7 linked regions of the Xenopus tropicalis genome follow. The protein of the gene in region 3 interacts with the protein of the main gene of each other region in a pairwise test. Links are inferred from orthologs where the notes say so. Each region holds a gene or a part of one and is shown on either strand. Other genes may lie near its edges.

Region 1 (4,022 bases), on a different chromosome or scaffold from region 3:
ATAGCAGTTGTACCGGCGGATACATTGTATAACTTCACAGAAAGTCAGAGCCCACCCAGCAGCTACAGACTCCCCTGTTACACCCCTGTGAATACCCCTCTATTCAGGGGCAAGGAGGCGACAGATTGCCCTTTCTCTGCATCGCCTGCCAGCTAGGGAGCTTTAGCTGAATGGATGCAGGTCTTTCTTCAGCCTCAGCTACTACATAACTGTCCTGGCCGTCACTGCATTAATCCCTCTCTAAGGATTGTGCTTAGTGACTCTCAGCATCAGTGGAGATCAGAGCGGAACTGGGGGGGGGGGAGGAAGATTTAGGTGGGTAAAAGACAATACTATGTATATATATATATATTTATATGATACACAGTGTGTGCCAGTTGCTACTACTTCTCCCTATGGGGGTAATGATGGAGGGACCCCCCCAGGATGCATCTGCCCTTGTTATCATTCTAAGAAATGGCATCTCTAAGGACATTTACATTCCAAGCATGGTGCTGCCATGGAGACTAAATATTCTGATATATATATATAGAGATGAATGAGGTGCATATTTGCTCAGACTGTAAATTCTCTTGCCCCTCCCACAGGGGATCCTTGTTGCCCATTTTCTGCCCTCTGCATTATGTATGACACATGGGCTATATTTAATTCCCACCTCCCCTTATAATAAACCCAGGTGCCCCCAGCCCCCCTTCCCCATGCAGATCAGTACCTTCTGAATAGTTTGCTGGGTGATCTCTCCCTTGCCTCTGGGTCTGGCTGATGCAAAGGCCACAGACATGATGGCCCCTGTGCTCCTCAGTGGATAAATTATTACAGAATATTCTTATTATCAGCTGCCTATTACTAGGCAAAGGTTTGTCATTCTCTGCAGCAGACTGGGGGGGGAGTGCTTGTCAATGGAATAACCCATTTACACATCGTTTGCTTGTCACTTTAAAGAATACGTTTATTGCTACACAGCTACATCTATCATGTTTCATAAAATCGATTCGATGATGGAACAGTTTGACACAATTGAGAAATGAGCGCTTTGATGAGGTTCCCACCCCCCCACTAGAATGGTTGGATCCACTAGCCGGGTTTCCTGTCTCATGAGCCGGGTAAGGCAGAATCCCGGGGGAGGAGTTAAGCTTACGCAGTTTGCGTAGCGTAGACAGTGTGGTTAGCAGGGGAGGCGGCTCCTGCGCAGAACGGAAGTGAGGTTAGTGAATAGGAGAGGGATGAGTGCGCTGTTTTGAGCAGGTTTCGGTTTGTGAGCGGATTGTCCTCGGAGCCAACATGAGTTACGATCGGGCGATCACTGTCTTCTCCCCGGATGGGCACCTCTTCCAGGTGGAATATGCGCAGGAGGCCGTCAAGAAAGGATCCACAGCCGTGAGTACTGAGGGAGGTGGCCCCATGGCCGGACAGGGAGAGGGAATGGAGGAGGCCATTCAGGGGCCATTCAGGGGCCCAGTGCGATGGAAGCAAGTAGCCCCCCCCCCCAGGCAGGGGGAGACAGGGAAAGAGTGGGACCCCCCCCCCCGGGTTACATGGAATAGTAGCAAACCCACTGGGGAGAGGGAACGGGAGAGACCAGGCAGGCAGGGGGGGTACCAGTGTGTGGAAGGCCCCCATAGATAGGGGGAGAGATGATAGAATGGAAGGCCCCCATAGATAGGGGGAGAGATGATAGAATGGAAGGCCCCCATACATAGGGGGAGAGATGATAGAATGGAAGGCCCCCATACATAGGGGGAGAGATGATAGAATGGAAGGCCCCCATACATAGGGGGAGAGATGATAGAATGGAAGGCCCCCATAGATAGGGGGAGAGATGATAGAATGGAAGGCCCCCATAGATAGGGGGAGATCTGATAGAATGGAAGGCCCCCATAGATAGGGGGAGAGATGATAGAATGGAAGGCCCCCATACATAGGGGGAGAGATGATAGAATGGAAGGCCCCCATACATAGGGGGAGAGATGATAGAATGGAAGGCCCCCATAGATAGGGGGAGAGATGATAGAATGGAAGGCCCCCATACATAGGGGGAGAGATGATAGAATGGAAGGCCCCCATACATAGGGGGAGAGATGATAGAATGGAAGGCCCCCATAGATAGGGGGAGAGATGATAGAATGGAAGGCCCCCATAGATAGGGGGAGATCTGATAGAATGGAAGGCCCCCATAGATAGGGGGAGAGATGATAGAATGGAAGGCCCCCATACATAGGGGGAGAGATGATAGAATGGAAGGCCCCCATAGATAGGGGGAGAGATGATAGAATGGAAGGCCCCCATAGATAGGGGGAGATCTGATAGAATGGAAGGCCCCCATAGATAGGGGGAGAGATGATAGAATGGAAGGCCCCCATACATAGGGGGAGAGATGATAGAATGGAAGGCCCCCATACATAGGGGGAGAGATGATAGAATGGAAGGCCCCCATACATAGGGGGAGAGATGATAGAATGGAAGGCCCCCATACATAGGGGGAGAGATGATAGAATGGAAGGCCCCCATACATAGGGGGAGATCTGATAGAATGGAAGGCCCCCATACATAGGGGGAGAGATGATAGAATGGAAGGCCCCCATACATAGGGGGAGAGATGATAGAATGGAAGGCCCCCATACATAGGGGGAGAGATGATAGAATGGAAGGCCCCCATAGATAGGGGGAGAGATGATAGAATGGAAGGCCCCCATAGATAGGGGGAGATCTGATAGAATGGAAGGCCCCCATAGATAGGGGGAGATCTGATAGAATGGAAGGCCCCCATAGATAGGGGGAGATCTGATAGAATGGAAGGCCCCCATAGATAGGGGGAGATCTGATAGAATGGAAGGCCCCCATACATAGGGGGAGAGATGATAGAATGGAAGGCCCCCATACATAGGGGGAGAGATGATAGAATGGAAGGCCCCCATAGATAGGGGGAGAGCTGATAGAATGGAAGGCCCCCATAGATAGGGGGAGAGATGATAGAATGGAAGGCCCCCATAGATAGGGGGAGAGCTGATAGAATGGAAGGCCCCCATAGATAGGGGGAGAGATGATAGAATGGAAGGCCCCCATAGATAGGGGGAGAGCTTCCACATAGGGAAGGGGGGAGATATCATAGAGTAGAAGAGACCCCCCCCCCCCCTCAGATAAGGGGGGGAGATGTCATAGTGTGGAAGATCACTTTTACATAGGGGGAGAGATGATAGAATGAAAGAGACCCCCCAGATATGGAGGGGGGGAGATGATTGAGTGGAAGAGACCCCTCATATAGGTGGGGAGATATGATAGAAGAGGCCCCTCTATACTTCCTACTGCTCCAGTGGGAGAGACCCCTACCTGAGTTTGAGAGGAGAAATGGAGAGTGCAATTGGGATTCCTCCCCCAGACTCAAGGTTGGAACCTGAAAAAAGGGACCCTAGGGGGAAGGTTTGAAACTAGGACCCAGTGGGAACAAAAATTGAAGGAGACCCCCCCCCCCCCCCATAATGGGGAGAATAGGGAAGCAATTCCCAGAGGGAGGGATGGAGAAGGGGGGCCCCTTGGGGGGTGGGAGCATATACATAATGATGGCTCAGTTGCCCCTTTCTGTCCCCGTCAGGTTGGCGTTCGTGGCAAGGAGATTGTGGTTCTGGGAGTGGAAAAGAAATCGGTAGCGAAGCTCCAGGATGAGAGGACGGTGCGCAAAATCTGCGCCTTGGATGAAAACGTCTTTATGGCCTTTGCTGGTACTGAAAGCATCTGGGCAACCGCTTGTTTTATAGGAAGTTGCTTAAAGGACAAGTAAAGCCAAAGTGTTAATAGTCATTATTTATCCCGAGCAGCCCCCCCCTCTCTCGCTTGGCTGCTACTGGGTCGTGCCGCCATCTTGGCTGCCATGTACTGCCGGCTGTCCCGAACTGCTCCCATAGGCATTAGGGGCTTCTAATTGTCATTGGGGCCCCCTAATGCATAAATGCCCCCATAGATAAGGTGATTGTCTTTGATTCTTGTAATAGGAATAAAGTTATTTTGATTTGTAGGTCTCACAGCTG
Region 2 (3,500 bases), on a different chromosome or scaffold from region 3:
CGGGGACCTCTGACAGGCCTCCCTGGCGACCAAAGATCAGCCAGATGTCGATCAGGCAGGCTTTATTTCTCTGTTGGATTAAGGCCCCATTGGCTTATTGATGCCCTCCTCACTTCGGTATTTTATATCCCTTTGGACTAAGTGATCGTATTAGCACAATATCACCCACACCAGGTGGGCTAATCGTACAGTGTATGGCCACCTTTATACTTCACAGCCAGGCCAGTATTAATTTTGTACATAAAGTCTAGGATAAACCCAGCCTGCGTGATGCCGTCATTGTCATGTGGCCTTTGCTTGTGTTTTAATGGTGACATTCAAATGTTATTCTACTTTATCTGTTGCGATTGAACTTTTTTTCAAATATTCTTTGAGAGTTTCCTTCTCCATTAAAACAATACAGCAGTCCTCTCCTCATTCTGGTAGCAGCTGGCCTCTGCTATATTGCAGTTAAATTATGTGATAGTTACATAATTCATGTTGGTTGAAAAAACACAAAGGTCCATCAAAATCATCCCTTCCAAAAAAACCCCAGTGTGCGCGCACACACACAAAACACTGATGCAGAACTTTATATATACAGGTATGGGACCTATTATCCAGAATGCTCGGGACCTTTGGTTTTTTGAATAAGCAGTCTTTACATAATTTGGATCACCATACCTTAAGTCTGCTAAAAAATAATTTAAATGTTAATTAAACCTGATAATTATTTTGCCTCCAATAAGGATTAATTAGATGTGGTATTTTTTTTTTTTTTTATTATTTAGCTTTATGTTTAAAATAATTAAAATCATAAAAAACTAAGACCAACTGAGCAATGCCAGGAGGAGATATTCTATAACAAATTAAAATTTAACTTAAAGGTAAACTGGCAATTTAAATTTTCAGAGCTGTATGTTAATGCTTCACATTTCCATAACAGACTGTTATAATCAGATGCTGAGTACTGATTCTTGGGATGGGCTTAATTATTTTTAGAGGTGCAAATTCTGTATGCTACACATATACATACCAAGCCAAGTACTACTTTCCCTCCAGGCTCACTGGCTGTGTGGCTCCTACAGAGCCCACTGTATGTTTGGAGTGAAGTGATTCCCCTATGCTCAGAGGCTTACCGTGGCTAATGAAATAGTACAGACATCGCTGTAACTATAGAGGAAGCAGGCACCGGGCAGGGCCTGGACTGTGGGGTCTGCTTCCTCTATAGAAGTAAAGAAATCCCCCTCCCCAGCTGCTCTCCTACCTGCAGTCAGGGAGGGGGGCGCAGGAGGCACCGACAAGTGGGCAATCAAGAGACTGGGTAGAGTTCGCGGTGCACCGGGCCCCTCCGACAATTGTTATGTACGGGGCCCAGCACACACTAGATAGCCCACTATAGATAGACTGTACAGGTATAGGAAAAGCATTACCAGGCACCCTGACATCCAAGAGTATCTAGGTATCTAGCAATATTCCCCAGTTCTCACACTGACAAATCTTTGCCCCCCCCCCCACTACTATTCACAACCAAGGGACCATCCCCAAAGATTTGAGTACTATTGTCTTGTGTCCTATAATATATCTGTTATGCTACACTGTTGGCCAATATGTTTATGTGCTCTCATGAAGTATGTTTGAAGCATGTTTGAAGTGGTATGTAGGATACCAACCCATAGGCAGAGAATAATCTAATTTTTCTCCCTTCAATGTAGACGAACAGGAAGCTCTGAAGTCCATTATGAAGGACCTTGTTGCCCTCCAGATGGGTAGAAGGCACAGAATACCAGGAATTGAGGCAGTAAAGACAAAGTGCAGCATACAGCCCAATAAACAGGTGGGTACCATTATGGTAGTCTACAGCATGAGGTCTTCATACTTGCACTAGAAACCTTTAGCCTGCAGGCTAAAATAAGCTAATTATTCTGGTTGTTGGGCTTACTGCCCCCAGCTACAATAATTGTATTGAACGTGAGAGTTAAGCTTTATTGTATGATTCTTAATTTTTTATTGATTATCTTTCTTTTCAGGCGGTATTCTTTTATTCTCACTTACAAACTATTGTCTAGTTGCTGGGGCATATAAATTGCTGTCTGGTTGCTAGGGCTGAATTACCATAGCAAGTTAATTTGCAGGCCTAAAAGCTGCAGAATGTAAGACAGTAGTTTTCATACAACAACACAACATTGCTTGTGTCAGTGTTGCCCCTTCCAGCCTTGTTAATATTTATTGTTGTTTTAAATATTACAGACGGATGTCAGAATAAAGTTTGAGCACAGTGGGGAGAGAAGGTAAGCCAAAATCTGTTTTATTCATGTGCACTTATGCAAATATTTGAAGTGTTTCAGTCCCAGCAGATTTGAAGGAGAACAAAACCCCCCAGAGTTCTTCTGAACTGCACTACTGGTTACCCATTAAACAGCCTGTTTTCTGTAGCTGGTTCTAAAACGTTAAAGTAATATTGTCATGAACAAACATCAGTTAATAGAGCTTCTCCAGCAGAATCCTGCATTGAAATCTGTTTTTTAAAAAGCGCAAACAGATTTTTTTATATTTAATTTTGAAATTTCACATGGGGCTAGCCACTCCCTTACTTTCCCATGTCCCCTTAGCCATATGACTTGTACACTTATAAACTTCAGTCACACTTTACCGCTGTGCTGCAAGTTGGAGTGATATCACCCCCCTCCCTTTCTTCCCCAGCAGCCGGTCAGCAGAACAATGGGAAGGGAGCAAGATAGCAGCTACCTGACACCTGTATTGCTAAAAAGGGGTAGATATCAGAATAGCACTCAGCAGTAAATAATATTAGACCAGCTTGGGACTCCTCCAGTTACATAGGAGTAGCAGAAACAGTTCTAATGTGTAGAACTGGCTACACACCAATATTGCATCTTGAAAATTTGTTGGTTCAAGAATAAAATGTAAATGGTAGAGTACATTATAAACAGTGTAATTAAGAAATACAAAGTACACCATGTGGGGGAGGGCTCTGGAGGTACCAAGCTATAAAGAAGGGTTGAGTTCTCCTTTCAGAAGAAATGCTAGCTATGCTTTGGATGTCTAACAGGGTAATGGCAGTCATCTTTGCAATCACAGTTGCTTTTAACATCACTTGGATGTGTAGTGGTTTGAATAGTTAAACTGGGCATCTGTTTTCTGTCCTGGTATATGGTTTCTTGGTTACTAATAATAAAAGTTCCTATATGTTGCTTCTTACTGAACATTGGGAAAACGACTGGGTGATTGCCCCTTTTATAAATTTGTGTGTTGGATTAAGAGGAGTGTTACATGCTATTCCAAAATTAGTTGAATTCTGTTATTTTGCTCTATTTTTTTTTTTGTTTTGATGTTAAATAATGTTAGCCTTGTATTACAGTAAAATGTATTTAATAGTTATAACTATTTGAGTTTTGCCTCCTATTCCATTATTAAAATGGGAAAGCATTTATTATTAATAATAATTGTGTTCAGTCTGTTCATCAAATTGTTAGGGTATGTGGAACCTTAAAAATAACATA
Region 3 (4,123 bases):
CAGCAACTTGATTCAAACATGGAAACTGAACTCCAGCCTTGTACATTTACTATGGTTTCAGTAAAGAGGTCAGCTTGCTTGATGACTGTTGCCTTCCCCTGCTAGACAAGGTAGGTTTTCAGATTAGACAGAATTCCATAGAGATCAGGAAGTGTTGGTCCAATTGTTTTTCCCTGCTGTAAAACTCGTAAGTGATATTACACAATCAAAAGTTTAATTACATTAGAACCATTAGAAGAAATGAACAACCATGATACTAAATCATCACCTATGCTCTGTCCAGGCATGAAGATTTAAAAGTGTATGATCAAGTTATTGCAGGGAGCTTGGTTTTAGTTTTATCTTATAAAATGATTAAATGTGGCACAGTTCTTCGGGCTCACAAATACCCACAGTCATACAGTGTTCAAAGGCATAGCAATTCTTCCATGAAGTTCTGAAAGTTCTACCCAACTCTCTATGCGTAGTAGAGAACTCTCCTATTGTGCCAGCCAGCACTTCTGTATATCAGCCATCCTGATGTTATCTAACATATGAAGATTGATATGCAGTTTTGGGCTGCCAATATTGCACTGTAATTAAACAGATGGACTGACGTAATGTTTTTTTTTGTTAGGCAGTAGAAGGAAGCTGTTTAATCCATCTTTGGCCAAACACATAAAGCAAAAACAGGGAGTCAGGTGCACAGATACCAGGCAGAGGTCTTACTGAAGGAATGTCATAAATATATCATACACACAAGTACAAAAAATCCTTTGGCTCCAGGTAAATATCAGTGTGATATCAGCAGCAATGACATTTGTACCAATTTATATAAGACAAAATATTATGTAAAGCGGCTGAAATAAGTATAAAATATGCAAAACACAAACATTAAATAAAGGTTTCATTGAGATTTGACATGTATTTATTTATTTATACATTCCATAGTGGAATGTTTGTGGCACCAACAGAATTTGCAACCACTGTGGCAGAAGGAAATAAAAATTATGGTGGGGGGACAAGTTTAGTCTAAAGCTGGCCATACACTCACTGATAATATCGTACGAAACCCCGTTTACATTGTCACATTTATTCAGTCGAACTGCACACCTGGAACAGACTGAATTCTATTGCCCCAAGTCAAGACTTCAGCATGCCCACATGACAGAACTGTTAAAGTATTGTTATTTTTACAGTACAAAGTGCAATGTACTAGAACAAATACAAATCTGTGCTTGTATAGCAAGCTCCTGATAAATTCTTTTCTAAAAAGGGTGGGGAGCCAGCATCTTAGCCTTAGTAGTTATTTAGCGGATCCTATTAACTACACACATGACAGTATATGTTAACCATCTGTGGTCTGAAAGAGCGTGGTAAAACAAATTGCTCAGAAGTCAGAGAAGAATTTCACCCACCTACTTATTTATAAAAAAAAAATGGGTTTTGTTCTTAATGTTATATAAGCTACAACACATAACTGAAAACAGAGGCAAGATCAATTTCATTAAAAAAAACAAAAAAAAAATCATTGTTGGACAGTAGCATAGGCTCCCATGAAATGTCACAGATATTTTATATTAAGTCCAGATGCTGGCGTTTTATAACTATACATACATTCACTCACCAGTAAGCCTGCCTCTCTATATATACTGTAGATATATACATATTTAAACACTTGTTTATCTGCTGCATCAATCAATCCATCAAATGCAAATAAAACTGTTGTAAGTTATGTAAATAACTGTTTGTAGTTTTTTTAAGTTCCTTGCTCTTGCCTTATGCCCTGTGTGTGGGTTTTGAAGCTGAAGATGAGTTCCAATGAGGGCAAAGTAACTTAAGTCAGAAAAATTATTCACTATGCAAGCTTTTTATCCTTTGAACATATTTAATATAGGGTTTGCAAACCAGCTAAACTATTTAGCAACCCATATAACAGTACAAAAATACTGTGCAGTTTATTGTTTGCATTAGTGCACAGTATAGGTTATAAAGCTTCTTAATTAAACAAAAAAAAATTTGCACAAAAAATATGCCACCTTGCAGCAGGTCTTACAAATGTGTTATGTGTAATTAAAAGTCACAATGCAATATTTGTCTAATGCATAATATTGCAATAATAGTCAAATAATGCATTGCTGAGCACACATTTTTGTTCTTATTTATGCAATTATACCATAGGATGATTTTTATTACATCCACCCACTAAGTATCTCTTTTATAGAGGTGTTTCTGTAACCATTCTACAAGGACATAGTCACAAGTTTATACACAGGGTGACTACAAATGTACACAGCTCACACTCCAGGACAGTCTCTGCCATCACAAAAGCATGTCTTTTCAAAACACAAGACCAATTTCTCAGGATAATTTTGTAATATTGCTGTCACAGCCCACTGAAGGAAAGGGATTTACTTTCTTGTGTATTTCCTGTATCCTTATAGTTCCCATAGGAGGCACAGGGAGTCCCCTTGTCCCATATTCAGACCAGAGGAGGATTACCTGTATCCAGCCAGGTAGGCTCACCCTATACTCCTGGCTACACTCTGTAGGTCACAGGAAATCAATAAGTGGATGTAGAGAGAGGCAATTCACTAGCCAAACCAACACTGCCACTATCAGAAACGCAGAAAGTCTGATAACCCTTTGTGTGCCAGGGCTGGCTTCCCTACAGGCACAGAAGCAATGAAGTGGCAAGTGAATTTCTTTCCTTACCTTTCTTTTCTTCCAGAGAAAAGCAGGACTGACTGACGAAGAAGACGCAGATATATAATCCCACACTCCGGCTAAAAGACCCCATCCCGAGTCTTCAGCTACCCCCAAGAACAGAAATGAGGATGGATCCTTCCTGCAGTCCTGTGCTTTATCTGCTGCCTCTGACACCGGTCTTGTTTCAGTGACCCAAATCCACAGAACGCCTCACATCCATTGTGAACACGATATATACCCACGGGGGAGCGGAGGGAATAGAAGGAAGCTGAGAGCGTTGGACTCCGAGCTTATTGTGGGGCTCTCTCACATGAGACAGTCCAGTGTCTTCTCTTATCTGGTGTATGGAGAAACAGCAGGGAGTAAACGAAGTGCCAGTGACAGGAACTGCTTATCCCTATTTCCACACTCACTTCCCAGGAGTTGCAAAACTTTTGACAGAACGAGCCGGTCTGTGTGAGTCCCTCACGAAAAGAATCTGGCATGTTTGGCTGCTGTGACATCACGGAGAGGTGTGCCTCATTCCACTCCCCCTCCCACAGCCTTCCTCACACTCCAGGACGAGCCGAGCTACGGGCATTATTATCGCTCACTCCTGGCAGAGCTTCATAGGAGCAAGGGAAGCAGCGCCACCTATTGGTCACAACAAACACAATAGGAGACAATTCGCGCAATAATGCAGTTCACTAGCAAATCAGCAGAATCGTTTATATTTATGAGCAAAATATAATTTTGTAAATGCTGGAGTGCTTCAAAAAGTAAAATGGAAGCTGAAAACTACTGCTTGACAAATACATTTTGTCAACAAATACGTTTTAACAAAGCTAAAGTTTGTCTTTCTGCGATGGGCTGTAAAGCACCACGTCTTCCGCTGTCACATGAAACGCCAGATTAGAGTGTTCCAGGGAATCAAAAATGACACCTGTGACTGTTTGGATCAATGCGGTGCATATTAGGTGTCTAGATAAGAAGTTACCATTTAACTTCAAAATTATGGAACGTGTCAATAAAATCCAGGGCTGCAGTGATTGCAATTAAATGTAACATGTATAGGTGTCCCTGAAATTTCATGTGATCTGGTAACCCTGTGTTAAACAACTGAGCCCCCAGCCCTCCTCCAGCCACCCAGTAAAAGCTGGTAAGAGGCAGATGCCTTTTATGAAGGGCATAGAAAAAATCAAAGGGTCCTTCACTGAGCAGCCAGGATGGACCAAGGGATAATGTGGAGTTGAACCTCAGCTGACAGAAGGGCTGCTGTGAGATGCTATAGAGCAGGGATCCCCCGACCTTTTTAAAAAAGTGTTGGGGAGCAACACAAGCATGAAAAATATTCCTGGGGCTGCCAAATAAGAGCTACTTAAAGGAGAAGGAAAGGTTAAGTCACTTGGGGGTGCCAAAATGTTAGGCACCCCCAAGTGACTTAAATTGCATACTT
Region 4 (3,500 bases), on a different chromosome or scaffold from region 3:
GTTTTTTTTCTGGGTCACTATCTAATAATTCACTCTATCATTTAAAATGTTATTCTTGAACCAGCAGATGTATTTTTAGTTGTAATATTGGTGTGTAGGGGCCATCTCAGCGCATTGTGCCTGAGTCTGAGCTTTCAAAAGAACTTAGAACTGCTTTCAGGTAACCTATTGTTTCCTATTGAGTCCCAAGCTGGACTTGGATTTCTTACTATTGAGTGCTATTCTGATACCTACTGGGAGCTGCTATCTTGCTCCCTTCCCATTGTTCTGGTGTTCGGCTGCTGGGAGGGGGGCGATATCACTCCAACTTGCAGCGCAGCAATAAAGTGTGACTGAGGTTTATCAGAGATACTTGAATTCCATGGTTATGATTTTGGATGCCCCTTCTTTTACAGGTAACATCTACTGGACAGATCAGGGATTTGATGTCATTGAGGTGGCTCGTCTGAATGGCTCTTTCCGTTACGTGGTGATCTCACAAGGGTTAGACAAGCCACGTGCCATAACGGTCCATCCAGAGAAAGGGTAAGAGTTATACAGAAATACCTGCTGTCCCTTGTGTCTTAGGCTCTGTGTTATATTCTAGCAATAATTAAAATATCTGTTGTTTTTTATTATATTGTAATAGATATGTTTTTTTTTTTTGCTTTGTTTTTTTTTTTTAAAGATACCTGTTTTGGACAGAATGGGGTCAGCACCCTCGCATTGAAAGATCTCGCTTGGATGGTAGTGAAAGGTCTATCCTTGTGCAAACTAGCATCAGTTGGCCCAATGGAGTCTCCATAGATTATGAGGTATGAAAACACTCATTATATATAACAGTACGGGTCTTACCCCAATCAGCCCCAAATTGTTTTTGTCCATATATAACTCCTTACAATCTATCTTTGACACTGTAATGGTAATGTAATATGATGATTTATCATAGGTTTGTTTCCCAAACCGAAAGAGCAAGGTAGAGATCATGCTATTTGGCTTCATGGCTGGTTAGTCTGACCTTATAGCAGTCTTGGAAACCAAGAAGTCTGTTCTTTTAATAATCATTTACACATGCCTCTGCCACTGGAGTCTTCATTTATATTAGTTTCTGATCATAAAGCAACTTGTTTTGTGGTAAAGACACAGGCAAATATGATCCAGTTTAGTTAGCCTTGTATTATGCTTTTCTGCAAACCAGTAGATCTCTTTCCTTATTCACAATATCCTATTTTGATGAGTTGTTTTAGTGAAATATAGAATGATAGAATCATAAAAGCTCATTAACAAAGAGCTAATCTCTGTACAGTAGTATTAAATAATTGTATGAGAAGTATTCAGTATCCGTTGCTCTCTGTACAGGAAGGCAAGCTGTACTGGTGTGATGCTCGCACTGATAAAATTGAGAGGATTGACTTGGAGACTGGAAAGAACAGAGAGGTGGTGCTGTCCAGCAACAACATGGATATGTTCTCAGTGTCTGTCTTTGAAGATTACATTTACTGGAGTGACAGGTGAGACTGCACATCTCTTGCTTCAAGGGATTTCAAATGCATCTCCTGAACATATGCCATTCACAACTCTTTAATTTACCCACTCTCTGCAACATCCCAAGGCGCTCTTGTTTCTAATATACTCTGTTGCAATGGAACAATTTGTAAATTTTCTATTTACAAATTTAACTGCAGTTATGAAATTTGTTATATTTAAATTATTTTTAGTAGACTTAAAATATGGTGATACGATGTTTTTTATTTTTATCATTCTTTACATAGCAAATCCTAGGCAAAATACTCGTTATTTCACTTATTGCATTCCTTGTGTGTGTCTCGCTTACAGAACACATGCCAATGGATCCATTAAACGAGGGAACAAGGACAATGCTACAGACTCTGTGTCTCTAAGAACTGGTATTGGGGTCCAACTGAAAGACATCAAGGTGTTCAACAAAGACCGCCAGAAGGGTATGTAGAATATATATAATGTGTAATATATGTAATGTACATATTTGTTCCCCTTTAATGAATAATTGATTGCAAAGAGCAATGTGTATTAGATGAACATGTGCATATTCACTGGTTTAAATAGGTAACAGGAGAAATGGGGAATACAAATGTGCAGCAGTATATACTTTATCCTGAATGCATTCCATTACGCACAGCTCATTTCTTCTGCTCTTGAGAGCATTTTAACATGATTATTTTGGCCACAAGCCATACCATACCAGATTATATCAGACTAGTCCTTATGAGCTTATACAGTATATATTTGGAAAACTTGAATTGCCCAAAGAAATGCATAGAGCTGTATTAACATAGTAACATAGTAAGTTAGGTTAAAAAAAGACACTGGTCTATCAAGTTCGACCTTATCTAATGTATCAGCTAGTACACCTGATTCAGGGAGGGAATTCCACAACTTCACAGCTCTCACAGTAAAAAATCCTTTCTGGACCATTCTGTGTGGAATGTAGTTGTGGGCAAGCACCAATGCACTATTGGCCCTGGGTCTTCTTCCATGATGTGTTTTAATTATAAACATGCATGGTAAATAACCCCATATGATATATGACAACTTAGTTTTTGCATCAGTTCAATATTATTTATAGCAGCTATTCACTATTTGGTTTTTACTTGACCACTCAAGTAAAAAGTTTGGTGTAGAAGCCCAGAATGTATCCCTTGTACTATATAACCTTCATAGATCTACAAACTGAAGCATTTAGACCTTACAGGGCCTCTCTTGCAGAACAGTTTCTGAGTTTATTATTTTAAAGAGGGTCATTTATTAAGCCACCCTCCTTCGCTTACATAAATACCTTATCCTATTTTTACTAGCATTTGCCTAGTACATATTTATATATAGAAGACTAAGATTAACCCCACCAACTGTAATTATATTTTAACCTCTTTCCTGTAATAATTGTTCCCATTTTATTGCTTGTGGGATCTCCACTGCTGAATCTTCTTGCTTGCCTGATCACTTTGGAAACTTGATCCTTAGTGAATTATAGTGACATTCGTAAAATCAGTCAAGCTAACAGATGATTATAAGCACTGTAGCTTTAGACCAGTAGCGCATGGCTCCGATTCAAGATGCAGGTTTTTCAGGTGAGCATTTTCAGGCTGCATCAGCTAGTGCTGGTACTTTCTGATGATTCTCTATGTGAGACAGCATGGGGTGATTGTGGTTGTTGTTCTGCACTCTGCCAAAGGCCTTACAGGGAACACATGTTTGTGTTGCTCAGTTTGCTTTTCTATTTAACAGGAACCAATATCTGTGCTGTGAACAATGGTGGCTGCCAACAGTTATGCTTATACCGGGGCAATAACAATCGTACTTGTGCCTGTGCTCATGGGATGCTTGCTGAAAATGGATTAAACTGCCGGAACTATGATGGCTACCTATTATACTCTGAGCGAACCATCTTAAAAAGTATCCATCTCTCTGATGAGAGTAGTCTCAATGCGCCTGTGAAACCTTTTGAGGACCATGAGCACATGAAGAATGTCATTGCGCTAGCA
Region 5 (4,215 bases), about 3.4 Mb from region 3:
GTATTTTGTAATTTTGTTTTCCCTACAGCACTTGTGTGCTCTCCTGTATGTATGTTGCTTTCCCTCTCGCTCTCTTTCTTGGCTTCTCTCAATTCCCTCTCTCTCTTCTTGCCCGGAGTCTTGTGCACTCAAAGTTCCCTCCTACTTGCTCGCTCCCGATTTAGTAGCAGGGCTGAGAGGGAGGGTTTAAAGGCCCTGGGGTTGGGAGCAGGGGGAGGTGGTGCTATTGCATCCTGAGCAGAAAAGTCAGCTGAGTGTATAGGCAGTGCATGAGCGCAAGAGGAGAGAAAGCCCGCAGGAGAGACCTATAGGAATCCGTGGAGAATAGGAAGATCTTTTGAACACAGAGGATACAAATCTGGGTGCAATTTTTCCGAGCCAGGCTTTTTTACGCATCCACCATCAAGTTTATTTTTCCCATATTATGCGTTTTTTCTCATTGGAGTTTCTTTATGGGCAAGCCAAGGATTGTTGGAAGGAGCATGGTGTTTAGATCCGCATAGTGAAGTTGGGCACATAAAGAAAACTCCGTGGAAGTAGAGAAGGCAGAAAGAGTGGCCCATTGAGTATCAGCAGCCCATCATTTGCTACAAAGGGTCTCTTTGTAACCAAGGCCCATTGCACTCAGGACATCAAGCAGGTAATACTCACTTGGAACTGTGTGTATGCATGTGTCTGTGTGCAACTGCCTGTGGGATTGTTTGTTTTAGTCATGATCCCCTTTAGTTTTTCAGCTGAGTCAGACATGCTTCCACTTGGGGGGCAGCGAGGAAGTGCGCTGCAGGGGGATAAAGGGGTGGAGAGAAGACTTTCCCAAATCCAACCCTGTCCTTTGGCGCTGGGAAGGGGTTCCCTGTGTGTGTGCGTGCACAGTGCAGACTTGCAAACTAATAGGACGTTCTCCCCTCGCACTATCGCTGCGAGTACACTCCCCCCACCCCTCCTCTCATAGTTGTGCTCCTTGCTTTGAGTGGAGTGTGGGAGTTGGCGCAGAAAGCGCTGCAGCTGAGGTGAACAAACCGCTTGTTGAATTGACGGGACTGTTTGGTGGGGATGCGGGAGGAATGTTTTATTTCACTCTAACACCCCGGGCAGCTTGATTGAAATGGGATTTCTGTTAACTAATTGAGTGTAACTGGGATTAGAGCGATGCCCTTCCCTCTCCTGGTGCCCAAGGGGCCTACAGCGCATTGCTGTGCGTATGAGCGCTGCCCTACCGCTGCCAGTGACAGTGTTACGAGCACATGCTGTGTCAGTGCAGAAGTTTATCTGCCAAGTCATACTCCCTAAATGGCTCTTCCCACAGCTGCTAGCCACGTTCTCACTCCGGTGCCCTGGACTCTTGTCTATCTGGCGTGAGCTCTTGCTCAGCTTAATGCGATGTGTACGTGCTTGTAGTTGTGTGTGCCGCGATGGGAGCAACATGTGCCGCTGCTTGCCCAGTCAGGCACCAGGTAACTGTCTGCTGCACACTCGGCCTCTTTATAAAAGCCCATGCAATATGACACTTGGCTAGGAAGGAGGGGGACTCCCTTTTGCCTGTGTCGGTAGCCTGTAGAAATGAAGCGCACTTGTTTATACTACCCTTGTTTGCACTCCCACCCACAGCCCCCCTCTCTCTCTCGTTTTTTAATAGTTATTAAATCCTCCTCCTTCACAATAAATACGACCCACCTCTTTATTTCAGGAAGGGAGTGAAAGACTTTTTTTTCTGTAAAGAGGTGGGGAAGGCTGAGTGGGAGTCACCCACATCTGAGAGGTTTATTTTAGTCATTTTCAATGATTGTCCCGACTGCCAAGTATTTTCCAGCAGCGCCCCCCCCCTCTCCTCTCCTCCTCCTGAGTAAGGGGGTAGGGAGGACGAAAAGTAGGCAGGGCGCTGGCGGCAGGGAGCTGATACGATAATAAATAGAAGGAACACGCGTAAGGCGAGGCTCAAAACAAACGTGGCTTTGCTGCTGCGAGTAGCTGGGACACCGTAAGTTGAACTTAATGTTACGCGAAAGCTTTCAGACACTCAGTGAGGGCCAAGCACAGGGATTTGACAGGGAAGGCTCCTTTCCTTCCTCTATATACAAATGTGCGCCACACGCTTTGCTTAGTAAAAGTAGCACAGGGGCTTCAAAACATTTCTCTGTAGCTAAAGTCCAGCACTCGACTGAAGGTGCCAACTGTCTGTGATTTCCAGGAACAGTCCCCTGGAAATGTTCCTGGCGTTTCAAACCGGTCAGCTGCAAGAAAAGAATTTGAATAATCTTAGTAGCTGAAGCCAGTTCTCGGCGCTGCTCTCCCTCAGTAGCTTGTTGTTTGTGAAGACGCAATTTTATTGTTACAACTGGGGGCCCGTTGGTGGGATGGGGCCCTCAGGGATTTTTTTTTTAATGGCCTTTGGCATGCACAAAGGTTCCTTGGATTTTTTTTAACAGTCCTGGGAATACATACATGGTTTTCTTGATTACTGCCCTAGGGCATGAAAACAAAAGTTGGACAGCAGTATGGAGTTGATTTTGCACATTAGGCTACTTTTGCCAGTTTTTGTGTCGTGAGGCCACTGGCAGTGCATCCCTGAAACATTTTTATATGTTAATAGCTTTTCCGACAGCTTTTCAATAATCAGACTAACATTCCCTGCCTGGGGTTACTGATTCTTACAGTACAAATGATAAACTTTAAATTGCACAGTCCCATACAGGAATGGGACCTGTTATCCAGAATGCTTGGTAACTTGAATTGTCTGGAAACCCATTATCTAGAATGTTCAGATTACAGGAATGCCATATTCTATAGACTCCATTTTAAGCAAATAATTATAAATATTAAAGGAGTAGGAAAGGCTACATCACTGGGAGGTTCCAAAATGTTAGACACCCCCCAGTGACTTGAATCGCTTACCTGAAACACCCAGCCAGTGCTCCTGTTAGGAGAAAACTGCACCGGCTAGGGTGTATGCATGCAAGCGTTCTTTCAATCTTCACGCATGTGCAGTAGAGTGAAAAACTGACTTTAACAAAAAAGCCAGCTTTTTCACTTAACTGCGCATGCGTCGGCCCCGGGATTCTGAAGCTAGAAGGAAGAGGAACGCTCACTCGCATATACAATGAGCTGATGCAGTTTTCTCTTAAAAGGAGCACCCGCCAGGGGTTTCAGGTAAGAGATTACAATCACTGGGGAGTGCCTAACATTTGGCACCCCCCAGTGATTTAGCCTTTCCTTTTCCTCTGTTTGTAATAAAACAGTACCATGTACTTGATTCCATCTAAGCTGTATAAATCCATACCGGTGCAAAACAGTCCTATTGGGTTTATTTAATGGTTAAACGTAGGGTGATTCAAATTACAGAGAGACCCCATATCTAGAAAACCCCAGGTCCCATGCATTCTGGATAATGGATCCTATACCTGTACATATATCCCAAAAGTTGACATTTGCAAGCTCTGTTACAGAGGAAACAAGGGCTCATTTAGGAAAGTTAGCTAGGTACAAAGTGCAAATGTCCTATATATATATATATATATATATATATATAATATATATATATATATATATATATATATATATATATATATATATATATATATATATATATATATATAATTTTTTTTTTTGGATTGTTTTGCATCTCTGTATAATGCCCAAGTATGAATGGTGTATAGGCATAATAGTTGTGTTGGGTGTCCACATCTGTGTCATTACTGAGTAGCACCGTGTTTGTCATGCATGGGGAGGTGGGTCTCTGAATTTTGCCTGCACAAGGTGGGTCTGAAGTACAGGACTCTGTGCCAGAAGTTTAATTGCATTTTGACTATATAAGTGCCATATAAAGTGCCACATTATTTTTTCGCAAACTGAGGCCTAGGGCATTGTGTTTTGCAGGTTCTTAGTGTTTTGCAGGTTCTTAGTGTCATTTTAAACAAATTAATCACAAATTATGTTAGGATCATGTATAACAGCAGATGTGTTTTTATTATTATTATATTATTATTATTAACATTTATTTATAAAGCGCCAACATATTCCGCAGCGCTGTACAATAAGTTTTTCTTTTACAAACTATATAACTATCATCTGTCCGAAGAAGTGTCTTTTATTCATTTTTTTTTTTTTATTTAAAGGAGAAGCAAATACTTATTGTAGAGCGCTGCGGAATATGTTAAACACCCCCCCAGTGACTTTAATTGGTTACCTTTTACCCCAGGCTGGTGCTCCTGTTAGGAT
Region 6 (3,277 bases), on a different chromosome or scaffold from region 3:
TCCAGTAGTGATTGCGCCAAGAGATGGCAATTCCATATACGGTTTATAATATCCATTGAGTTTTACATATGGGTCAGTGGGTACTACTTAACCTATTGGATTACATAAGCCTGGGAAAATTGGAATCAGAATTTGCCAAAACCCTAACCTGGGGCCATAGCAGCCTCCTTGCAGTACTCTCTTTTTAATATACCCAGTCATTCCTCCCATTGGATCATCACTATAGCTGTACATGTGGCTGTGGGATGCCCAGTCTATAAGGTGGAGGCTACCTTTTCTGCCTAGTAGATAAGATTGTTTCTCTTACATATATTTATATTTATAAGTAGCTTGCTGAACCTGTTGGCAGTGATATCCAAAATCTAATGGCTTTTGTACTGTTAAAGTGCTTTGAGCTCTTTATATAAAGTAGGATACGGTCTAGATTTGCTTTGCTGGTCCCATCATGAGCAGGGCGCATCCAGTGCTATCCAGTTGTTGCTCATCCTAACCTGTGCCATACTTATTGCTCTAAGAATTACAAATGAAAATGTTTCCATAAAATGTAAAAAAGTTAAAATACCTTTCTGACCAAACTCATGGTTTGTGCTCACGTTACAAACCCAGTAGCAGACAGATCTGTGCCAAGCCACTGTTCTCTATTTGAAACTTGAAATGTTTTAATACCGATGCTTGTTGAACTCATATTCACTCCCATGTTATTCTTTCAGAGTGTCTTAGGGAAAATGAATGAAATCGCTAAGCACAAAGCGGCCATTGAGGATGCAGACACTGAAAGCAAGGTAAAAGGATTTGTATTGGAATTCCAACTTCTCCGCAGGTAACTAGTTTATACTTTTGGCTGTATCACTGAAAACTATTCTGTTGCAATTCTCTGCTTGTAAATACAGAATAATACATTCAAATGTATTGGATGATGTCTCTGGTTGCCTGGAAGTGATTCTTCAGTGGCTGTTCAGCCACTGAACCGATTAGCTGGAGAGCGCACCAACGTGATGCCCATTAGTTTTATGTCGACAGCCATATTTTAAAACAATTTGCATTTAGTCTTATTTTTTTCAAGTTGAGAAAAACCTTTTTAATGGGAAAAAATGTAAAAAAATAAAAAAGGGGGGGAAATGTGAAGGCATGGTATTCCTGTAAAGAAGGTTCATTTGTGTTTTCCCCCTGTTGTATTCAGCTTCTCGACCACTCCAAATCCAAGGCAGTCATTCCGTATACCTCTTGTAACATGCAGCTTCTGTTCTCTGCCCCAGGTGCACCAGCTCTATGAGACCGTGCAGAAGTGGGATTCCATGTCTAGCACCTTGCCGCAGGTTGTCCAGAGGCTGCTCATGTTAAAGCAGCTGCACGAGCAAGGTACTGCAAGGGGAAACTGTCTCCTTTGTGTGTGTATTCTGTTACAGGAGTTTAGTCCATATGTGCAAAGAACAACTTAATGGACTGTGTATCATATATAACAAACTAAATTGTGCGACTGCTCTATTGATCATTCATGTATGGCGTCTGCTTTATGTAACCCCCCCGAACTTTTTTATTTCAGCCATGCAGTTCGGACAGCTTCTCGCCCACTTGGACACTACACAGCAGATGATATCAAACTCTTTGAAGGACAATACCAATGCATTAGCTATGGTATGTTATTGCTTTTATCATCCTCTCCCCCCAAAATGTGTTTTTTTTTTTTTTTCTTTTTTTCTAAGCAGCACTATTTCTCTGACCTTGTAGGTTATTAACTGTAATCAGAGTGGCCCAGGTAGCAATGGCAGGTGTTTTGTTAGCCAGGCACCATAGCTGACAGAAATCTGGGAAACCGCTCTCCATTGATTTGAACGGGAATTGTAGAAACACCCATGGTTCTATGCAGTTCCCTTTCCAGTCGGCGGGGAGCAGTTGACAGACCAGTCTGTTCCATTTGTAAGAGTTTCTTAGCTTTAATGAATATAGCTGCACAAGTCTGCAACTGTGTCTGTAGTACAGTTCTGTGGGCAAATTTCAGGTCTGTGCTATGGAGGCTGCATTAGTGTGCTGTGTTGGGCCTGATCCAAAAGCAAATTACATGCACACTTAATATGGATATTGCTCTTTTGTAGGTCCAGAAGGCCATGAAGGAGAACCTGGCCACAGTGGAAGACAATTTTACCAGTATTGATGCGAGAATAAAGAAACTAAGTAAATGAGTTGCACTTCTTCACCACAAACCTCATTCCCTATAATACCAAGGAAACAAGAGTTTCTGCAGACTCTGCACTAAGAAATCAACTCCCTCCCCAACCAAGAGAGGTTTTACCATTGTACATATTATGTCTTGTTACTCTCTCTCCTCCCCCGTTTCTCCTGAGAATGCTTAGAGGCTTCTCCTGTACCTGCCCATGCACGGACACTCACTCCACCCTTAATATCAGGTGCTGTGTCAGATCTGATCTCTTAGGGAATATGGTGTATCTTTCAAGCTACCATGTTTGCATGCCCGGTACATGCGGTGCGCCACCTGCAGTGTCTGAGGAGAACATCCATAGACCTTTTATTTATGTATGTATATCGTTCTTGTCCTCTTTCTATTGTTACACAGCCACCATCAATGCATTACATATACTGCAACGTCCAGCAAAAAAAAGAGGCTAAATGCCACCTTAACAGCATTGATGTCATGAGACAATGCCTTACTCTAACTGCCACCTGATCATTACTGTTAGTAAATTCTGTTAGTTACTTCTTAACCTCCCTAGACTTTATAGCCTCTTACTGCTTCTTATATAAAACTTATCTTTCAAAAATATGAATGTGCTCTTCTGGTTTTTTTTGTCTTACTGGGTCTTGGTTACAAAGACATATTCACCTATTTTGTATTTCTTTTTAGTTTTCCAAATATATTACACTGTGGGGTTACAATTGAGATTAACTGCGGGGGCAGAAATGCCAGCAATGACCGTGTGCTTATACAGTGTCTATTCCAGAGTCTCTAGAAGCCACAAACTTTAGGTACCCTATACATTGGTTGTATTTATTTACTTGGGGAGAAATTCCTATTTAAAAAAAAAAAAATCTAGGGTTCATGTACATCCACAAGTGCAGTTGTGATGCCTACACTTTACCAGTCAGTTGTGCGTAGAACCTCGATCATTAAAGATATCAAAATGGGCCCCTTGCACTTCTCTATAGTTGCACTCAGTAACGAAGCCGGAGAAAGGTGCCGAGGCATGTTTTTGGGTTTTCGGGCTGTTAAGTATATATACCTTCTGATCTTAAAGGGACAGTAACACCAAAAAATGAAAAG
Region 7 (4,255 bases), on a different chromosome or scaffold from region 3:
ATGTGCCCCCTTGTCTAACTGGACCAATCCCCCACTTCAGTTCAATTTACAGGTCAGCCACCCACTGCTTGCTCCCGCTCTTCCAGTCACTATTTATTGGGCTGGTGGGGGCTGTTTGGGCCTCTGTGTACTTGGAATGCCAGCAGGGGTGGACTGAGCCAACCGGCCACCCAAGGCAACCCGGGTGGCCACCTAGTCCCTGCACTATTGCATTGCACCCCCCGTGTGTTTTGGCGGGGGGGTGCGATGTGAAAGTTCATTGCCCCCACCGCGGCAGGGGTAATGAAAATGGAGCACTAACTAGGGGTAGGCAAGAGAGGCTCCTGCCTGGCGCCCTTCAATCGTTGCCCCCTAGGCAGCTGCCTCTTCTGCCTACCCCTAGTTCTGGCCCTGAATGCCAGTCCAGCCTGTGCCCCCCAACTGTGATTGAGTCACATGCCCCTGCTGCCTAGCCCTAGTTCCAGCCTTATGCTTCCTCGTACATCAGGATTTAAGGCAGAGTAGAGCAGCAGGGTTGGCAGCTGCCATATATATGACTTCCTCTGCCTATTGGGGTACATAGGTGTTTTTGGGTCAGGAGGGAGGACTCTGCAGGGAAATGAAAGAGAAAACCATAAAAATTGCTTTATTATCACTGGAATAACAAAATGCTGCAATTGGTCAGCAACTGGCACAGTGCCTGGTCATTAGGAACAGTTCCCAACTATGGATCACTTATACATACATATAATATACATAGATCCAATATGAATTTCAGAGTTACGTGCGCACACATTAAACACATACAAGAGCAATGATTAACCTGTAAAAATATTCATATACAGATATGGCACCTAGTGATGTCATTGTTTATAATCAGCACTTAGTGATGTCATTCACAGCACCACCCACTGATACTTATATAGAATAATGTGGCCCCTGGTAAAATCCCATTATAGTAGAATATAGCTCAGGGTTCCTGACATGCATATATACAGGTGTATATGAAACCTAATGCTTTAGCAGCTGGATTCATCGCTCTAGAACACTAACAGATTTGGTTTTCTAATTGAGACGCGTGTGGCAGTTCTATGGCAGTAATTTCTCCATTGAAAGAAGCATGCTGCGGAGCGTGTAAGCAGGCTGTGTGCTACTCGTGTAGCCGCTACCCCCCACACGCTATAACTAACACACACACAGAGAACAGGTTTCCACACATTTTTCTAGTGCTGGAACACTGACACCAGGTGAGAGATCCACCCCCTCACTCACCCACACTGGGACTGCTCCCCATCTCTGCCTACTTCTGTAGCGTTACACCCAGCCCCGGCGCCGCTCCACCAATCAGAGAATGGTTTAGCCACCACATGGGCGTGGCTTGCGTCATTCACCGCCATGAGGTGCGCCGCATGAGCACGGTTCCCCAATGAAAACAGAGAAAAGCGGCAAACAGCCAATCAAAGGAGGGGATGTTGCCGAAGGTCGCCATCAGGAGAGTATTGGCACATTTTACCGCTTACATTTTTTTCTAATCCAATGCAGTCATGCCATGCTTCATTTCCGGTTTAGGACTCCTGCCCCACTTCCGACAATACTGTCAAACAGCGTGAGCCTCATTTCCTGGGGTTGGACCATCTACGGAAAGCGAACCCGGAAGCGATACAAAAACACTTTGGTAAGTGTCTTGACAGAACCTGGACTTCAGTTTCATTTTGTTCAAGGAATGGGTGGAGGAAGCCGACCCTGAGACAGTGAGTGGAGACTCTAAGCGTTACTGCACAGTAGGTAATTAAAAGTGGTTTTATACTAATAGAATGGGTGTCGGATCCAGCACCCATAGCAGAACATCACAAGCAGCTAACCCATACATGCATTCAACGTTTTCACTGATTTTACAGCTATTTGTAAATGCACTCGGTAGCTGTATGTATCCCTTCCTGTGTATAGTCATTGCTCATGCAGGTTTCAGTTGTCAGAACCAGCAGTGTAGAGAATAGCAATAGGGTATGTCGGACAGTCAGCTGATTGTGCTCTATTTTAATGAAAAGACCTCTAAAAAACCAATTGTACCTGATGATGTGAAGTGTAGGGGGAATCAGGGAGATTTGGAATGGAGGAGAGCTTAGACAGCAAGCTGTCAGTAGCAGCATTTGTATACACCATAGGTCACATTCACTTACCTAAACGCAGGGCATAAAGTGGAATTTACCCACAGTGCACTGTTTTTTTCCAGAATTACGGGGTCATTGCAATCACAAATTGATGATTCTCTTGACACAATTGCAACTCATCTACTACAGTTGCGTTAGGTTTGCCAAAAATAGACCCAACTGCGTGTGTGTGGCGCAGATGCAGTGCATATTTTCTAAAAGTGCCTGGCGAGATCGCCAAGTGAGCGGATCTTCTCCCGATATCCCCCACCTACGGGTGGGCAATATCGGGTGAATTCAGGCTAATTCAGTCGGGGACCGCATCAACAAGCCGATGCGGTCCCCGATCTGACTAAAATTTTTAACCTGCCTGATTGATATCTACCGATTTCAGGCCAGATGTCGGTCGGGCAGGCCTGTCGTTTGTGCCCCTACTTGGGCCGATAAGCTGCCGAATCAGTCTAAGGGACCGATATCGGCAGCTACAATCGGCCACCTTAAGCCTGCCTGTCATGTGGACACTGGTGGTCAGGTTATGTTAGTCGGCTTGCATAGGCAGTGTTGTGAATGGCTGGATTTACAGGGGTGCAACATCTGCCCCTTTTGCCCACTTGCACATTGGCAATGGAGATACCAGCTGCATTATATTGGGGTCAGAGGATAGTCTGGCAGACTGCAATTGCAATACAAAGCAGTCCAAATAATTTTATGGTAAACTATATAAAGGGGCATATATACATGCACACAGCAACAAGGGAATTATGGGCAGTGCTGTGCCCTAGGGTGCAGGTGGCACTGTCGGCAAGGAGTTTCTCTGTTTTCTGCACTGCTTTCCTCCCTCATTCAAAAACATACAGGCAGGTTTATTGGCTTCTGATAGAATTGACTCTAATGTGTGTGAATAAGATAGGGACCTTAGATTGTAAGCTCACTGGGGCAGGGACTGATGGGAATGTGATAGGGACCTTAGATTGCAAGCTCACTGGGCAATGACTGATGGGAACTTGAGATTGTAAGCTCACTGGGCAATGACTGATGGGAACTTGAGATTGTAAGCTTATTGGGGCAGGGACTGATGGGAATATGATAGGGACATTAGATTGTAAACTCACTGTGCAGGGACTGATGAGAATGTGATAGGGACCTTAGATTGCAAGCTCACTGGGCAGGGGCTGATTGGAATATGAAATGGACCTTAGATTGTAAACTCCACTGGGGCAGGAACTAATGGAAATGATGTATAATCTCTTTAAGTGCTCCAGAATATGCAGACACTATAAAAAGTAAGAAAGGTAATAATTAAATGTTGGTGTTAATTGTCCTTTAATCCCATATTGTAATTATGTAATTTTGCTCTGATCCCAAACAGCAGACACTGATCACCTGGGCTGCATTCCTCTTTGCTTCCTTCTTATCGCTGTCTCTCCAATAACATTCACAACTACTTCCTTATTCCTTCTGATAACATGGGAGAGATATAATTGGCCAATATACTATGTGATGTCATCAGGACTTTCCCTTTTTCTCTGGTATTCAGAACTGGTCATTGGTTTCTATTAAACCGTTTCCTATTTACTTTTGCTTTATGGTTGGATGTCTATATCTGTTTATAATGTTTTATGTTTTTATGTTCTTTTTTTCTATTAGTAGAGGTAACTATGGTTTACAGTCTGGTTTTACCAAATAACTAGCCTTTGGGGTGGGGTAAACATTTTTACTGGCCCTATGGATTTTCCCATGTGTCATGGGGAATTTCCACCCCTGTATATTCAGTGTAGTCTCTGAAACTCAGGTTCCCTAAATGCCTTTGTAGGCTATAAATGAAAAGCTACTTTTAAAGAGGTTGTTCACCTTTATGTGGATTTTTAGTATGTTATAGAATGTCCCATTCCTAGCAACTTTGCAGTTGGTCTCCATTATTTATTTCTCTTAATGTTTGAATTATTTGCCCTCCTTCTGCCTCTTTACAGCTTTTAAATGGGGGTCACTGACTGTGGCAGCCAAAAACAATTGCTCTGTGAGGCTACAATTTTATTGTTATTTTTTTACTTTTTATTCCTTATCTTTCTACTCAGACTCCTCTTATTCCAGTCTTTTATTCAAACCACTGCCAGGTTTCTAGGGTA

What was found.
Region 1: the proteins of egfr (region 3) and psma7 interact in a protein complementation assay, tested with the Homo sapiens proteins (2 studies listed by BioGRID and IntAct). The link is inferred for Xenopus tropicalis from reciprocal best matches to the Homo sapiens genes EGFR and PSMA7.
Region 2: the proteins of egfr (region 3) and map3k3 interact in a protein complementation assay, tested with the Homo sapiens proteins (3 studies listed by BioGRID and IntAct, with this or other methods). The link is inferred for Xenopus tropicalis from reciprocal best matches to the Homo sapiens genes EGFR and MAP3K3.
Region 4: the proteins of egfr (region 3) and lrp1 interact in a protein complementation assay, tested with the Homo sapiens proteins (3 studies listed by BioGRID and IntAct, with this or other methods). The link is inferred for Xenopus tropicalis from reciprocal best matches to the Homo sapiens genes EGFR and LRP1.
Region 5: the proteins of egfr (region 3) and grb10 interact in binary tests that used the Homo sapiens proteins (3 or more experiments, as listed by UniProt). The link is inferred for Xenopus tropicalis from reciprocal best matches to the Homo sapiens genes EGFR and GRB10.
Region 6: the proteins of egfr (region 3) and dctn2 interact in a protein complementation assay, tested with the Homo sapiens proteins (2 studies listed by BioGRID and IntAct). The link is inferred for Xenopus tropicalis from reciprocal best matches to the Homo sapiens genes EGFR and DCTN2.
Region 7: the proteins of egfr (region 3) and ikbkg interact in a protein complementation assay, tested with the Homo sapiens proteins (3 studies listed by BioGRID and IntAct, with this or other methods). The link is inferred for Xenopus tropicalis from reciprocal best matches to the Homo sapiens genes EGFR and IKBKG.

Annotation. Positions count from the first base shown.
Region 1 is NC_030686.2:4,411,868-4,415,889, reverse strand, and holds the start of psma7 (proteasome subunit alpha type-7), read left to right. Parts: upstream 1-1,222; 5' UTR 1,223-1,281; coding exon 1,282-1,377; intron 1,378-3,589; coding exon 3,590-3,716; intron 3,717-4,010; coding exon 4,011-4,022. Other genes in the region: ss18l1 (calcium-responsive transactivator), read right to left, coding at 713-781.
Region 2 is NC_030686.2:17,076,905-17,080,404, reverse strand, and holds part of map3k3 (mitogen-activated protein kinase kinase kinase 3), read left to right. Parts: intron 1-1,694; coding exon 1,695-1,816; intron 1,817-2,229; coding exon 2,230-2,270; intron 2,271-3,500. UniProt on the Homo sapiens protein: Component of a protein kinase signal transduction cascade. Mediates activation of the NF-kappa-B, AP1 and DDIT3 transcriptional regulators.
Region 3 is NC_030682.2:56,743,853-56,747,975, reverse strand, and holds the start of egfr (epidermal growth factor receptor), read right to left. Parts: upstream 2,801-4,123; 5' UTR 2,780-2,800; coding exon 2,695-2,779; intron 1-2,694. UniProt on the Homo sapiens protein: Receptor tyrosine kinase binding ligands of the EGF family and activating several signaling cascades to convert extracellular cues into appropriate cellular responses.
Region 4 is NC_030678.2:139,526,887-139,530,386, forward strand, and holds part of lrp1 (prolow-density lipoprotein receptor-related protein 1), read left to right. Parts: intron 1-395; coding exon 396-525; intron 526-667; coding exon 668-794; intron 795-1,338; coding exon 1,339-1,490; intron 1,491-1,815; coding exon 1,816-1,940; intron 1,941-3,243; coding exon 3,244-3,500. UniProt on the Homo sapiens protein: Endocytic receptor involved in endocytosis and in phagocytosis of apoptotic cells. Required for early embryonic development. Involved in cellular lipid homeostasis.
Region 5 is NC_030682.2:60,192,994-60,197,208, reverse strand, and holds the start of grb10 (growth factor receptor-bound protein 10), read left to right. Parts: upstream 1-1,415; 5' UTR 1,416-1,454; intron 1,455-1,948; exon of another isoform or gene 1,949-1,978; intron 1,979-4,215.
Region 6 is NC_030678.2:140,646,394-140,649,670, reverse strand, and holds the end of dctn2 (dynactin subunit 2), read left to right. Parts: intron 1-710; coding exon 711-782; intron 783-1,256; coding exon 1,257-1,359; intron 1,360-1,543; coding exon 1,544-1,635; intron 1,636-2,093; coding exon 2,094-2,180; 3' UTR 2,181-2,777; downstream 2,778-3,277. UniProt on the Homo sapiens protein: Part of the dynactin complex that activates the molecular motor dynein for ultra-processive transport along microtubules. In the dynactin soulder domain, binds the ACTR1A filament and acts as a molecular ruler to determine the length.
Region 7 is NC_030684.2:25,684,685-25,688,939, forward strand, and holds the start of ikbkg (NF-kappa-B essential modulator), read left to right. Parts: upstream 1-1,455; 5' UTR 1,456-1,654; exon of another isoform or gene 1,655-1,764; intron 1,765-4,255. Other genes in the region: g6pd (glucose-6-phosphate 1-dehydrogenase), read right to left, coding at 1,252-1,273. UniProt on the Homo sapiens protein: Regulatory subunit of the IKK core complex which phosphorylates inhibitors of NF-kappa-B thus leading to the dissociation of the inhibitor/NF-kappa-B complex and ultimately the degradation of the inhibitor.